Linked DNA regions of Drosophila melanogaster. The protein of the gene in region 1 interacts with the protein of each later gene in a biochemical or structural test. Each region holds a gene or a part of one and is shown on either strand. Other genes may lie near its edges.

What was found. Proteins that work in one complex are often made in the same cells at the same time.
Region 2: the proteins of Alh (region 1) and HP1b form a complex in vitro, tested with the Drosophila melanogaster proteins (one study listed by BioGRID).

The regions. Positions count from the first base shown.
Region 1 is NT_033777.3:7,119,972-7,128,230, forward strand, and holds the start of Alh (alhambra), read right to left. Parts: upstream 4,215-8,259; 5' UTR 3,968-4,214; coding exon 3,933-3,967; intron 3,768-3,932; exon of another isoform or gene 3,669-3,767; intron 1,783-3,668; coding exon 1,304-1,782; intron 1,168-1,303; coding exon 971-1,167; intron 912-970; coding exon 1-911. Other genes in the region: CG10098 (uncharacterized protein), read left to right, coding at 4,689-4,835, 4,904-5,091, 5,448-6,174; CG10068 (uncharacterized protein), read right to left, coding at 6,801-7,501, 7,602-7,851.
Region 2 is NC_004354.4:9,078,029-9,085,295, reverse strand, and holds HP1b (heterochromatin protein 1b), read right to left. Parts: upstream 4,043-7,267; 5' UTR 3,938-4,042; coding exon 3,215-3,937; 3' UTR 2,550-3,214; downstream 1-2,549. Other genes in the region: APC4 (anaphase promoting complex subunit 4), read right to left, coding at 1-827, 897-1,059, 1,121-1,297, 1,355-1,754, 1,813-2,055, 2,131-2,242; CG7246 (uncharacterized protein), read left to right, coding at 4,349-4,440, 4,498-4,801, 4,866-6,050, 6,122-6,349; CG44325 (uncharacterized protein), read left to right, coding at 6,918-6,959.

The DNA of each region.
Region 1 (8,259 bases):
ACATGAGTCCCAGTACCGCCCGATCCAGCTGTAGCAGTTGAAGTCGACGAACTGGGCTGGGTGTTGATACTGCTCGTTGTGCTTAAGCTGCTGGTGGCACTGGGTACTTGATTGGAGTCTTTGTTCTTAGAAAGCTTTGATGAGGATTTCTCTCGTGTCGACGAGGAGTTGGAAGATGTTGATGATGCAGATGAATTTGTGAAATTGTTATTCGCTGAATTGGTAGAGCTATCTTTTCCATCCTTGTCCTTGCTGGATGTGGATTTGCTTAAGCTTTTGCTATGTTTCTCCTTGTAGCTGTTGCTACTACTGCTCGAACTGCTGGCCGATGATTTGGTGGTTCCTGGTGCTGTTGACGATTGACTGCTTGTCGATTGCGTAGCACCACCGCTCGAAGCTGATATAATTCCCCCACTTCCACCAGGCACGTTTCCAGCACTGCTGGTGGACGAACTGCCTCCGGGCAGATTATTGTTTAAACTATTGCTAATGTTGCCGATGTTGCTACTCCCTGGTAGTACACTTCCTCCTCCTGTCATATTGCTAGCACTTCCCGAATGCACAGAACTCGAGGAGGGGTTGGGAGCCCCTCCTGTTGAGGATGACGAGCTACTGCTACTGCTGCTAGATGATTTACTTGATGCATTGCTCTTGCGCTGCTTTGCGGAAGATGATACGCCACTCCCACTGCTGCTTCCAGCAGAGATTCCAGCACTGGAGCTTGCATTCAAAACATTGCTGCTGCCACCAGCACTGCCACTGCTGCTGGTAATCTTTATGATTGTGGCCGAAGTTGTCGCGGAGTTCATGGTTGAATCGATCTCCTTCTCGGGCGACGAACACGAATCGGAAGAGGTGTCATGTTGAATGGGTTTATATGGAGGTATTGTTTTGACGTTGCCGCCCTTTTTCTGCAAAGTATCAAGAATTTGAACGGAAAAATCACGAATGCTATCCCTCACATACGCACCAGTTTGCTGTAATGGTGCTGACAGTAGCCGCAGTACTTCACATTATCCAGATAGTTACCAGCCTCCTCGCAGAGCAATCCAAGGCTCTGGGCGCAGGTGACGTGGAACTGCTGCTTGCAATTCGATTTGTTGCACTGCATACAGGCGCCAACATTGGCACGATTTGGTTTGCCAATTTCCTGGCAAATATAGCAAGCTGAAAATGGAAACGGATTGTAATTAATTATTGCCATTTAGCTAAGGCTAGTTTAACAAACAGGGGTTATAATTTTTCAATGAGTAACATTTTTTAAATAATATATGTAAATATAAAACATTTAAACATAGCTTACTCTTCGAGTACCGCTCCTGCGGTATTAATGACAATATGATGGGCTCCATGGTGGTCACATTCCCAAATCGCACCTCTGGGATGTACAGGGCGCAAACAACGTGCGCCCACCCGCTATTATCCGTCTTCTTAAGGGCGCCATCCCGCGAGGGACATAGTTCGCATCGGACGCGAGAGGTTCGCTCCTGGGACTCGCACTTGCGACAGTACCAGGGTCCAGTGGGAACCGTCACAATGCCATAGCACGCCTGGTGCACTGCCACAGTACAGTTCTGGCCGTCACAGTAGACGAGCGGGTTCTCCGGCCACCCCCGCTCGTCTGAACAAACGCAACAGCCGCCCACCATCTCCTTCATATCGTCCAACTTGAACTTTTTAATCTTGACCAGCTTCTTGTTCAAGCTTGTGGAGTGAATGGTGTCGTCTTTGCTGGAGTCTAGCTCCAGTTTCGCATTGAATGAAGACGGAATTTTGTTGGAGCTGCAAGTATATATATATATATATATATATATATATATATATATATATATATATATATATATAATATAAGAATTTTCCTTAAGTAAAAAGAGGATTTTTAAAACTCAATATATTTGGGTCCAATTAACGTTACCAGAGGAGCGTTGAAAGTTGAGCGAAAAGTTGAACATACATAAGTATGATGCACTTACGAATCTTCTGAATTTTATTTGTAATAGTATTTCTAATAAAAACAACGACTTTTTACCAAATTTGTATGGAATTAGCAGTAAAATTTATAAGAAATTTATTTGTTCAGCTTTCCTTATCAAGAAAATAAGCATGCTCTTTACTTTTTTCTTTCACATTTTTGTAATAATTTAAAGAACGTAGAGTCTATATAAAACATTTTTTATCAGAGCTCCGCTCCACCCCGCTCGAAGTCGACGATCTTGAGATAGAGGTTCCGGCCTTTCTCGTTATCGATAATATGCTGCTATCGAGGCAGGTGTCTATTGGCAAGGTCATTCGCACTCGGTTTTTCCACAATAACATCAACAAAAACAGTAGCCCTATAAAATATTATACCTAATTGTGCGCTTGTATTTACAACTTGGCCTTCGAAGCGAGAGCGAGAGAGATGGCACATGGAGCCCCGTTCGCAGAACATTTACACGCACACACAAATAATCTCTCAATGTCAAGGTAATTTTGCCGCTGCTTAATAATACATGCTAATTATGTATGTCGAATCATTTAAATAAAGACGGCCGAAAATATAAACAGCTATGCCACCGAATATTGATAGGAGGTTTTAGCACAGCAATACGAACAACAAATATTTTTAACTTTCACAAAACGGGCAACGCACACACAAACACTCTCTTCTGCGGCATTCCGTGGGCTGGTGTTGGTTCATTGAACCTGATTTAAATGGGCTACCAAAAATAAAACAGGAAAATGCAGCCCTGCCCCGAATCCAATTGGATGTCGATTTGGTCCCAATGTGCGATCGAACGCAAATATGTGGGTCGCGGAGATTTCACAACAACAACGGCAATTATTATAATAATAATAATAACGGCATGCGGGTGCTGTTTCTGTTTCATTCATGCATGCGCATCTGTGCGAGAGATCGCGGCGGAGGAGAGTGCGGGTCTAGTTGTACCGTTATTGGGTCAGCGTGTTGCCAACTGCCGAAAAAGAAAAACGCAGCCAGCGTGTTGCCAACAGCGGGTTAGCTGGAGTTCTCTAACTTAACGGTGTAAAATCACACACACTTGGCCATATGAAACGAGGCCGCTCTGCACGTTGCTTTTGTAATGAAGAGCAATGCACTTTCGACACAAGCAAACACACACTGTCGTCAGGCAGAACAGATACATACACACGCACGCGGGGAGATGCTACATTAATGTTGACGAAATGCCGGAAAAGGGGGCGCGCTTTTGGGGGGTGGAATACGGGTGGGTGTGTGTACATGTATATATGTACCCCATTTAAAACATCCTTCGGGGGAGTTTTTGGGGACTGGAGGGTAGTTTCTCCCAGTTTCCGCAACTCGTCTCTTAAAGCACTGCTTAAATTTCCTTCAAATTGTGTGTATACCCGTGGCTTGAATTTATTGATTTTTATGGGCAATTGCTTTAATTTCACTGGCCAGCAGGGCTTTAAAACGTCATCAGCGGTGTGCCACCAAACAAAAAGAAACTAGTTTCACGGCGGGGAAAATGCGCGCGGTCAAAGTCGTCAAGCAACGCACAACAAAAACAGAAAATATCTATTTTTTTCAGGGAGCGGTCTATCGAAAACTTGAAATTCTTTCGACTTTCTTGCTATTTTCACGCAGAGGTTTCTTATTGGCCGCTAGCACCCTCACAGAATATTGATTTTCTAAATTTCTTTACCCAATTTGGCACTTTAAATAAATGGTTTCCAGCCCGCAGCTGTGGGTTAGCGTTTATCTAGCTTTTCGTGGCTTTTCTCAGCACTTTTCCGCGTCTCACAGTCTTCACAGCCGCCCACGAGTAGCAAACGCACGCAAGTAAAATAATCAACACTCAAAAAAGGCGCTGAACAACACCATCCACCAGCGCAACAACAACACTGTGTGCGCGAGTATTTACAACTACAGCTACAACAACACCAGCAGCACACACCACTCCACACACCTTGTAACTTGTTTGTTGTTGTTTCGCTCGCACATCGGGAGCGAGCAGTGCGGGCGCGAGAGGGAGACAACACCACCTGCTCTGTATACAAATGCAGCTTAGTGGATACAATTTTGCTGGATGCGCGGTTTTTCCAATTGCCCGAATATCGCGAAAAGCTTGCAATTCCGAGACGTTCCGCGTTTTCCTTCTATGCAGACAGGTTTTTGAGCATTTTAACGCCGAAACAAGAAAAACCTCGGTTACCAGACGAATGGGCAGATTTCTAGCGATGGGTACTTTATCAGAGAAGGGTAAAATGCTTAGAGATGGGATGCGACTTGTCTGCATTTTTCCAGATTCAAAGGAAAACCCGATATTCATTATAACTTCCCTCTCTTATTCAATGCTGCTAATTATGGTGTAAATGAAGGTTGTAATTTAAGTAAATCGAATTCTTATTGGTGTTGGATCATAGTATTGTCAACATTAATGCTCGTCATTTAAATAATGGAGATGTATAAGGAAATATTTTATATATAGAACACTAAAATACCTAATCCTTATAGTTCTTTTAGAATTCTCCATACTAAACAAATAAATAACGTCCGATGTTGCCAGACGAGTCAACGGCTCATCGCCACGGTTCATTTCCACGATATATATTGGGCAGTGTTGAATAACGTTTGAACCTTAAACAGCTGTGGGAAAAATCAATTTTGCAACTCCCTCGCGCACTTCTGAAGAAACTTCTTCGCGAGAAAAGCACGGATAAAAATGACCAACGGTGACTGCTTTGTTGTTCTGCCCGAGAACTGTGCCGAAGGAACTTTGATCATCGGTCGCAATGCGGAGGACGAAAAAAACGTCAACGTTGCTTCGGAGGTTTGCTTCTACGATGCCACCGAAGTGCTTGAGGGGAAGGTAAAGACAGACTCCTCCGAAAACGAAGCTCGATCAATGACTCACCACCCAAACACCTCACATTTCAGACTGACGGTGGAGCTTCTGCCGAGACAGGCGGCGATATGTTGCGTGTTATATTGCAAAAACCGCAGCCGGGTCTCTGGGGTGGGGACTTCGGGGCCAATGAACGCGGAGTGGCCCTAGGTCTTACCTGGGCGGCAGGTGAAAACGAGGCCAAGGACAGCGACAGCCTGCTGGGCACGGATATAGTGCGGTAAGTTCTCTTTCAATATCTGCGTATCAACAAACTATGCACAACAAAGCAAATTATTTGCACTTAATATAAATAACTTTCATCACTAAAAATGTATGTACATATGAAGTCTATATAATGCAGAACGTAAATACTTATTCAAAGGATGACATTTTGTGGCTGATGTTTGTAATTAGCATTCCAATCCTTTCGTGTCCTTTAGGGCTTATTAATGCTTGAAGATACTATTATTTCAACATTATTTCATAAGTTAATTAAAAACGAATCAATCAGAAATTTAATGTTGTCGAGAAACTAAGGCTTTTACAATTATTATAAATCATGAAATAATAAATCATCTAATAACTTTTTTGTAGCTTGACTTTGGCTGTCGCCAAAGATGTGGACGATGCTGTAGACCGGATTGGAGCTTTGGTGGCCAGTCACGGTCACGACAACTCCAAACTAAACTTCATCGCTTGCGATGCAGCTGCTGCCTGGCTTGTGAGTTGCTCTGGCAAGGTATGGGCCGCTGAGAAATTGGAGGCCAGCTTCTTGCGTTTGCCCTCCGGAGGACTGGCTGTGACCACTGTGGTGAACAAGTCAAGCGAGGGATTAGATGACGCTGCCAGTTTTGCCGCTGCTCACGATGCAGAGGCCCAGGCCCCGGCAGTGGATTGGTGTGGTCCCAAGCCAGCTGGCGATGGAACATATACCCAGCACGACATGTTCGAGACGCTGCGATCCGCCAGTAATGCGAGCAGCTCGAGGGCGGCTACCGTTTCGGTGCTGTCGGTGAAGGGAATCTCATGCCATTGGTTCACCGGGACGCCCAATGCCGCCGAGTCTGTGTTTAAGCCGTTCGTTTTTGCCCCAAATCCGAGGATCTCGCCGCTAACCCAAGTGCAAGCGGAAGCGGACTTGACGTTGCTGCACAAGCTACACTCGCAACGCAAGCCGGCCGCCTTGGAGCACTTGCGCAGCTTGGAGCTCTCCTGCGTGGACGAGCTAAATAACTATTTCTCTCTGCAGGATCACGCCAGTGACGAGCTGGACGAACTGCTCAAGGACTGTGTCGAGGCGGAAGTCAAGTTCTATCGCTAGACCAACGAATACTATCTATATGGATACTCCAAAAACTAGCTTGCAAGCTCTATTGAGCATCGGGATTTGACTTGAGCATTCTTATGGCATTACCAAATAGGCTTTAGTCGTCAAAATATTTTCTTGTGCAATCTCTACTGATTTTATTTCGTTTAGTTTTTATGCTTTTGCGTGATATTTAAATTATTATTTATTCTGTCTCAGTGGGCAATCTCCGACTTGAATTTAAAGTATTATTGTGTGACATTCCAGGCTTAGTTTAACGATTTACATACTTGCATTCAAATATATATGAATACATATACAAATATACATTATATATGGCTCTCAAATAAACGCATAAAATCTGCATTTATACAAAAATTAAAAGGGCTTGTCGTATTTGGATACTTATTTTAGGATTCCTTTTTTTTTTATTACAAAGTGATTTAGAAGCGAAATGAATTGATAATTTAAATTGAAAAATGACAAGATAATTATTTTATTTAGCCCCACTCTAAACATGTATTTACAAAAATGGTCAGCCTGATCTGATTCAATCAATTCCCAATATCGTCAGAGTTAGAAATTATTCAGATACAGCGAGATACAAATTCATTTTCACATTAATTGACCTATTCGTGTTTTTAGACGGATTCTACAACCAAATTGGTCTTAAAAATAGTGCTATCATTGTGCAAGGCCTCTAGTTTTGTAATTTCAAATGACTGGTAAATCTCGCGGAAGTCCATAATGTTTCGTGGGTCGCTCTCCATCCAAAAGCGGTCAAACTCGAAGAACAGATAGCAGTACAACTTGTGGAAATCCTCCACGGTGCTAAAGTCCTGTCTGTGCTGCACCACCAAATTGTAGAAGTGGGTTTTGGCGGCGCCCGTTTTCACTAGATTGAAGGCCATGGAGGTGAGGTTAATGCCGACAATGGCGTAGGTGTAACCCAGGGTGGGATGCATCGAGTGCAGCAGGACATGTTTGGCGGCGTCGTTATAGGCAGTTGCAAAGTAGAGAAGGTTCTCTAGCCCGAGCATGCCCATTCCCCGAAAGTCCGTCTTCGGATCGTCGCCCTGGAAGCCGATGTCCTGCCACTGTTTGGTCACGCGACCGGTGAGGGGAGTGTCTGGCATCAGCAGTTGCCACAATCGCAACAGCTTTTGCTCGTGGTCGAGGTTATCCGAGTCGTATTTCTCCGCCCGCAGCTGTTCCACCTGATGCATCAGTCTGCGGTAGCCCCAGATACTCGTCACGCATGTGCCGAAGAGCCGAGCAAAATCCGGGTGGACATTGTTCTTGATGCGTTTCGCCTGCATCACAATGCGAGCAGCGCGAGGAGCTGAAAGTATTGGGTAATGATTAATAATATTTAACTTAGTGTAAGCTTGTAATGATTATGGTGCTTTGTGCACAGAGATTATACTATTCCTTGGACTAACCGAAATCCAGCAGCTCCGCGTTGCTCACATATGGCGCCGCCTCATCAAGGTCAAGTACAAGTCGTCGTATCTGCGGCCTTTTGGACAATGTGAGGGACCTTTCCACCTGGCTGGTTCGGCTGGCTCCGGCCTTCGCTCCATAGCAAATCCTCTGGAGCTCCGAGAGCCTGGTGAAGGCGTGCAGGAACCACTTTATAAAGGGCCTTATATAGCTAAAAATAAAAGGCAGTATTCGGTCGAGAATAAACATTTTACTAAGGCGGCGAAGAGAACTAATTAGATTTCCCGATTTCGTTTGTTTGCGCCCGGTTGCCAGGGCAACACATCAGGATTGGCTTTTGATCACAGCCTTATGTTTCTATCTACTATATTGCACTTTTGAGAGTTGTCTTTAGAAAGCTTTTATGATTGACTCGCAACAATAACAAATCCAATGTATTATTAAAAAAAACCAAACAGCTGATCAGGCAGTGTTGTAAATAGCGGAAATATGGACGGCATTTGAGGTATTCTTGATAACATTCTGAAGTTTTCTTTACTTTAAAGAGGCACTTTAATTATGCCTTAATTCTAATCGTTTTACATATAGTTCTATAATTGAAAATAGATTTTCGAAAAGGATGGAGTCCCCCTCACATGCTTCTGCAACTATTTACTT
Region 2 (7,267 bases), on another chromosome or scaffold:
TTGTAGAACTGCAGGTCGACGAAGCGTAGGTAACAGAAATCTTCGGACACGGATGTTGTAAATAATCCTGGCTCCAGTGTAATTCTAGTGCAGCGCACGCATTCATCGCCCGCTCGACTAAACTCGAGTATCATGGCCTCCTGCCCGCTGATGGTGCAGGCCAACATGTCGGTCCTGGACGCTTCGTTAACGTAATAGGTGCAGGTGACGAGATCCCTGTCCCTATGATCCTCGCCGGGCTCCATGGGCGGCAGGTCGTTGCATATCACCGTCGAGGAGACCTTGAAACTTCCGCTTATGCTCTCCGTTGGCTTATGGAACACGGCATCGATGGCATTGAACATCTTGTCGCGCTGCTGCACAAGCGACAGGTTCACGTCGTGGGGCACAAAAAGTTTGCAGTTGCTTAGGCATTCGTTGTCGGTTACCATCTCCTCCCACAGCTGGACTGGATCCCTGGGATAGAGCTGTGTGAGGTAGGCATTGTCCAGATACTGGCCCACTCGTTCCAAATTGAATTTGCTGCGCGCAGGCGGTGGCGTTTGGGATTGCGAATCCAGTTCATCCTCATCATCGCTGCGATCGTCCAATTCCGGTTCCATGGCGCAGATGAAGTCGGCCATGGCAATGTTCTCCTCCTCGGTGAGCACCAGGTCATCGGGAATCTCCTGATGCGACAGCCGTAGTATTGTGAATATCATCCAGGCGTGAAAGAGCTTCATGTCGTACGCCAACGTGTCGATTGTTCGCTGCAGCTCGTGTACTTTGAGCACAAATCCTCCACAGGCTCGCATCGCTTCGTTGGCCACATCCGGAGAGATTAGGGACTAATGATGACATTAGGATGCCTAATGATTAGTTATAATTAATGGAAAACCAGCAAAGCCTCAACTAACCTCAAAAAAGTGCGACATGCGACCGAAACCCGCGATTGTGTTGAGGAAATAGAACATGTTGATGGCTGCTCCATTCAGTTGCTTGAAAACTAAGCTCTGCAGATTGCTTAAACTAAGGTCCACCGAGTTGGCAATCTTCTTGAAACCCTTCTCGGAAAGAGTCCTGCGAAATGAACATGTCGATATGATGAGCATGAGGATCGACCAATACATTAGCCACTCACTCGAACAAAAACTCCTCTACCTCGAAGGTAGCGAATCCAAAGACGTGCAGCTCCAGAAAATGGGCAGATATCACTCCGTACGGCTGGGAATTGGCGTACCTGGTTAGCTTATTGTCCATTTCCAACTGCACGGTCTCCCAGGCCTCCGTCAAACATTGTTGCGTGTCATTAATATAGCTAAATAGCGCCAAACGATGGTTAGTAACATAACTTATTGGCAAATAAATGTATTACTTTTTGGTTTCTAGGATGTGGGCACAATGCGTTGCCAGCTCCAGCATGGGTGCCATGCAATCCTGCAGCACCTGGTTTTGAAAGTGCAGCAATATCAGCTCCTGACCGTCCCGCAAAAGAGCATAAATGGCATTACAGTCTCCGTTCATCCTCACATCGTACACATCGAACTCGTGCGGATGCAGAATGTGCTGTGTGAGATCGATGCTGCCCGCCTGCAGGGCTCCTAGGAGCAGTAGGTGCACTTTGCCGCTGCGCATTATCACCACCAGAAAGCAAGGTGATCCCTTTGGAAAGGACTTTTGGTCCAGGGTTTTCAGGCACGGATCAATATTGGTCATTGGCTGCAGTTTGGGCAGGAACCTTCGGTGTTTATCCTTGACATTACATGTGTAAGTTCCTAGAATCGTTTATAACACAATCAAATCCCTGTAGCTTATTTCGTATCGCTGGTTTACCTAGGTTCTCCTGCGAGTTGATGGCCTTGCTGAAGTAGACCTTCTTGATGTCGTCCTCGTAAATGAGGCCTGATATTATCGTTCCGCTCTCGGCGTCCAGGAGCGCCACCTTGCCGTTGCTGTAGCCAACCGCCAGGAGTGTCTCGTCCATTTGCCAGCTGAGCGAACGCACCCGCACATCCTCGCCGGGCGTGGGAAAGGTGACAATCTTTTGCCAGTTCAGACGCTGGATGACCACCTCACCTATCCACATGATTGGGATAAGCCCACTGGCAGTTTATTTGGTGATTCTTGGCAATTTCGGAGGCAGACGCTCACCCTTTTCCGTTCCGTAGGCAATTAGATCCATCTTGTTGTTCCACTCCATACGCTCCACAATGCAGGACATGTTGCGGGCGCCCAGCAACTTCATGGAGCTCGTTTGTGCCATCTTTCCACGCTAGAATTGGCTCGCGGCGTCTCTACTGTGCATCAAATATTTCAATATAATAATTTTAGTTTACACTTTGCCGGCTCCTGTTGCAGTCTATCGAATAATATTCCTGCTATCGATCAGAGATGAGCGGAAATAGTAGCTATTACAAATTGGTTTCTCCAATTCTTCAGTCATTTTTGACATTTTATTTGATTTTTGTCAAATGTTTAAACAAAATATTTGTATTAAAACTTCGGGACAGCGAGAAAGAATGTGTATTTATGATTGAAACTTCTTAGATATTTGTACTTATGCACGGCATGGCAAATTATCTGCCAGCACAATTTTGTTTTATTCGTACTTTACTTTAGTCTTACAAACCTACATAGTTTTAAAAGCTTTTGTTTGGAACACATAATGATTTGCGAAACAATGAAAAAATCGGGAAAATCTAAATTAATCGATCTTAATAACTGCCTGTTAGGAAAAAATCTCAAATTCTGGCTATAAAGGCGCTAGGTGGGCAGCACAATTGGCGTCTTTTGATTTCCACACAAAAATATTGGCAATTTCAATGTGTTTTTTTTTAACTTAAAGTGTTAGAAAGCTGGATAGTTGTTAAGATAGAAAGGTGGTCCTTCAGTCTGAGTCGTTCCTCATTGATCAGGTTAAGCGTAGTTTAGGCCAATTGTATTTAACACTGTGATGTTATATGCTTATAAAACATTTATGTGGGTCAAAAATAAAGGTAGATGTTAAAAACAATTTTACAATTGAACTTATAGATTAAGTATGTATATATATGTATATGTATATATGTATATGTATATACTACCGCTGACTGACGCCAGAACTTCAGTTTGTCCAATTTTTTTATCTTAAGGGCTACGCTACGAAATATGTATGTACATATATCGTATAAAGCCGGTGTGTATGTATCCACATAAGCGAGTGAATCCGAAACAGTCATCTGTATCTGCCACTCAACTAGTCATCCGCATCCGGCTGTCCGTTGTCCAGCTCACTACTCTCGTCCGGCTTGATATTCTCGTCTTGATTGATGCTGCCAATGGGGCTGGCCGGTTCGGGATCCTCCTCGTCACCGCCATCTATATTGCTGCCGCCACCGGTGGTGCCAACGCTGCCGGGAGCAGTATCATCGCCGGCCCCACTGCCGCCGACGGAGCCCAGGCCACCGGATGATCCCAAATTGACGGAATTCGTATTCCCATTACCATTGCCGCTGCCCGTGTGCCAGGTGAGGCGCTCCTCATAGAACTGTATGACCACCTGGGGGCATCGAGTGTTGGCCAGCTTGGCGGGCACAAGGTCGGCGTGATCGCTGCCCTTCCACTTCATGAGGAACATTAGGTGCCCGGATGAGTCGGTGGCGCCCAGTATTTTTGATGCCTCCAGACCGCGCTCAAAGCCGATCAGCTTCTTCTGCTCCTCGGTATCGTCCTCCAGGAAGCTCTTGCGCTTGCTGCGTATGGATTCGGGTGTGGAGGAGGTGGACAGGCGTTTCTTTGTCTCCTTCTTGTTGTTCTTCAGCGACTCCTCGAAGTTGGCTATCAGGTCTGGACAGTCGAGATTCTCCACCGGCTCCCAGGTGTTTTCGCTGCGCGGATAGCCCTTCCACTTTAGATAGTATTCCGTTCGTCCGTTCACCGTTCGCTTGTCCTCGACGCGTTCCACTGAGAATTCGGCCATTGTGCTTTTACGCTAATTGTGTTATTCCAACTGCGAATTTTGTTATTTTCTTGGCGTCCAAAACTTATTTATACGTGCGATTAAAGAGATTGAAGAAGAAGAAGAAATCAAGATGGCAACTCCATGGTCTCGCCATCGGCAACTATCGCTCTCTTGGCCAGTAAACGCATTTTAATTAAAAAGCTGAAACTTTAAAAACTTTACAATTGTAATTTTATCATTATCTCTTGACCATTTTTAAATTTTGACATATATATATATTTTTTTTAAATTACCCTTTCTACCATCCCTGTCAGCGATAACTCTCCAGAAATTGGACAATCGATAAACGGCCGTTGCGTTGCACGTGCGCTAGTTTTTAAAGAAATAAACAATATTACTAAGTACGATTAAGGAGAAAACTAAGCAAATATGGCCGAGTTCATAGCTGAGATGCAGGAGCGCCTGCTGCCGGAATACGAGCAGATGAAGAACTACAGCGTATTCACAGCGGATCAGGTCAGGTGAGAAATCCAAACGAATTTGGAGTCTGTGCCCCCATTTCATCCATATTCTTGCAGAGAAATCGTTAGCAGGCGGGAACGCTTGTTCCTTAAGATCAACAAGAGCCACCAGAGCATCACCGACTACCTGGACTTCATACTGTACGAGAAGCACATGCACATGACCATCGTGGACAAGGAAAAGAAGATGCACGTTAAACTCACCGGTCTAAAGGCCTCCATAGCCACGCGGATCATGCGCCTGTACAGAGAGGCCTTGGCTAAGTTTAACCACGACAGACGGCTGTGGAGCAACTGGATCAAGTTCAGCAGGAAGTCAAATCCTGTCGAGGTGGCGGGCATATACGAGAAGATGCTGCTGGTTAGTATTTGCCAGCCTGCTCACTTCCATTGATTACTTATCCATTGTTGTTATTCTTTTGCAGTACCATGGCGACTCGCCGGATCTTTGGGTGGACGCCGCCTTATGGCTGTACGAGTTCAATCGGCTCAACATCGATCGAGTCAAGGACATCCTGCTGCGTGGCTTGCAGAGACATCCGGATTCCGAGGCACTTAACAAGTGCTTCTTTGACATTATGCTGAAAGAGGCTGCCCTGGCCAGCAACGAACGCAATTTAGCCGAGAATACGCTCTCGGAACAGGACATCAAATTGGAACGCGTGGAGGCGGTCTACCGCAACAGCATGGCCAATATTACCCAATTGGACTACTTTGTTAAGCTTCTAGAAAGCTGTGAGGATCATCAGGAGCTGACGGGCAAGCTGCAGCGAATGATAATCGATGATATGCAAGAGAAGTTCCCCCGGGAGCCGGGCCTGTGGGATTTGCTTGCCCAGCGAGAGTTGCGCGGCTTTCATCTGGGCGACCTGGAGGAGGAGGACTTGGATACCAGTGACGAAGAGCCGGCCAGCAAGAAATCTCGTTCCGTAAATGGCCGCTCTCTCAAGCGACGCATTCAACTCTGCGTTACTGTATACAAATCGGCGGTGGAGGAGCTGCAAACGACAGAAATGTGGAATATGTATTTGGATGCCATGCTGGCACTCAATAGCGATGGAAAGACGGAGCGTATACTAAAGCAACAGTGCCTAGCGGATGCCTTGCAGGCGGGCCATCGCTCTCAGTTGATGGGCGTGAAACACTATGCCACATTAAGAAAGATGCTCTGCACTGCTCCGAGTGGAAGGGAGGCAGCTGTCACCATACTCACGGAAGCCCTGAAAAACGATTCATCGGTGGAGATGCACGAGCTTCTTCTGGCCACGCACATTCAAAGCGACAGTGAGCCCTTGATCTATGAGCTATTCAACAAGATCCAGAAGAGCATGGGCAGTGAGGCGTTGCCGCTGTGGCGCAGTGTCATTCTGTATTATCGCACTCGGCAGGATAGCTTGGGCGCACGCCGGCTGGATGAGATCTACGGTCTCGCCTGCAAGGCTGCGTGGCCGGAATTTGGTGAGCTGCGCTCCGATTATTTGCGCTATCTGTGGCAGGAGCGGTCTGTCGAGGAAGCACGCAAGGAGTACGCCAAGCTGGCCATTCTACCGCCCATGTCGTTGGCGCTGCACCGCCAAATGGTTCAGCTGGAGTCCAGTGCGGCAGCTTGTGTATGTTTTGTTATCTTTGCTACTTTGGCATATAATTGCGAGGCGCAACTAATTTACTTTATCTGTTGCAGGACCAGGCCAGCCTGAAATACTGGCGCATGTGCTACGACTTTATGGCCTGCTATTTCGGCAAGACACAGCCGCGCGTTTGGGTGGAGTATCTCGCCTTCGAGCGAGATCACGGCGAGGCGAAGAACATCTCCCTGCTCACCCAGCGGGCTCTCAGCACCCTAGAGCCTCAATATGTCGCCGCGTTTGAGGCGGAACGGGCACTGGCCTATGTGGGCGCATCGATATAGTTGGCTAAATAGTTTATTTGTGCTTCTGTTTTTTTCATTAACTTAATTTCTAAGTCGATCTTTCGGACTGTCTATAGTGATTCGATTCTAAAATAAGGACTTGTGAATATACAGCTTATAAGATAATTTATGAAATCTGATTTTTACTTTGGCAATATGCAGGTGTGTGAATTCAAAGTACAGTCATATGGAAAAGTTCTCATTTAACCATCCTATTGTTGAAATGTCCTTTTCAAAAGCGGTTAAATTATGAGTAATGCTATACGAGAATATCCTTTAACCTCTTCCGTCGACGGATGTGCTCATAAATCCGAGCTAATTGCGTTTTCCGAAGGTAAACAAAAACATGGGCATTAACTTTGCCTGCCTGACGCCGCTGCCGCCGCCGACAGCGCTGCCGACGTCGACGCCACTGGAGCTTTGAAAGCGAGTGGCGGCAGAGCAGTTGGCCAGTTCACTTGCGTACGCCGTGGCATCAACACGCACCAGCAAAATCAAGCGCATCCAGTCGACCCAATCCAGTTCCATTCCATAAAAGCCAACGAAAGCGAAATCTCAACCGAGCGTCATGGAGTTCAACAATCGCCTCTTGCTGAAGATCATCGAGCTGGTGAGTAATTGTATTTAAACTAGATCCGAAGGAGACACCTTGTTAACAACACAGTATTAGTTAGTTGATCATCCAAAATACAGACAATTAAATTGCTCATTAAAACTTTTTAATGTTGCAACAGCGATTTGAAGTTGATTTTGTTTAAAAAAGTAATTAAATTGCTGTGTCATAAGAATATTGATAGACACATTGAAAAATTGCATATTATTTATTAAAAACAATATATTATTATTATGAGTAAACTTCAAATCTCAAGGCACTTGAATAGTCACTAAAAACTTGAAGTTTTCAATTTTGATTTGTAA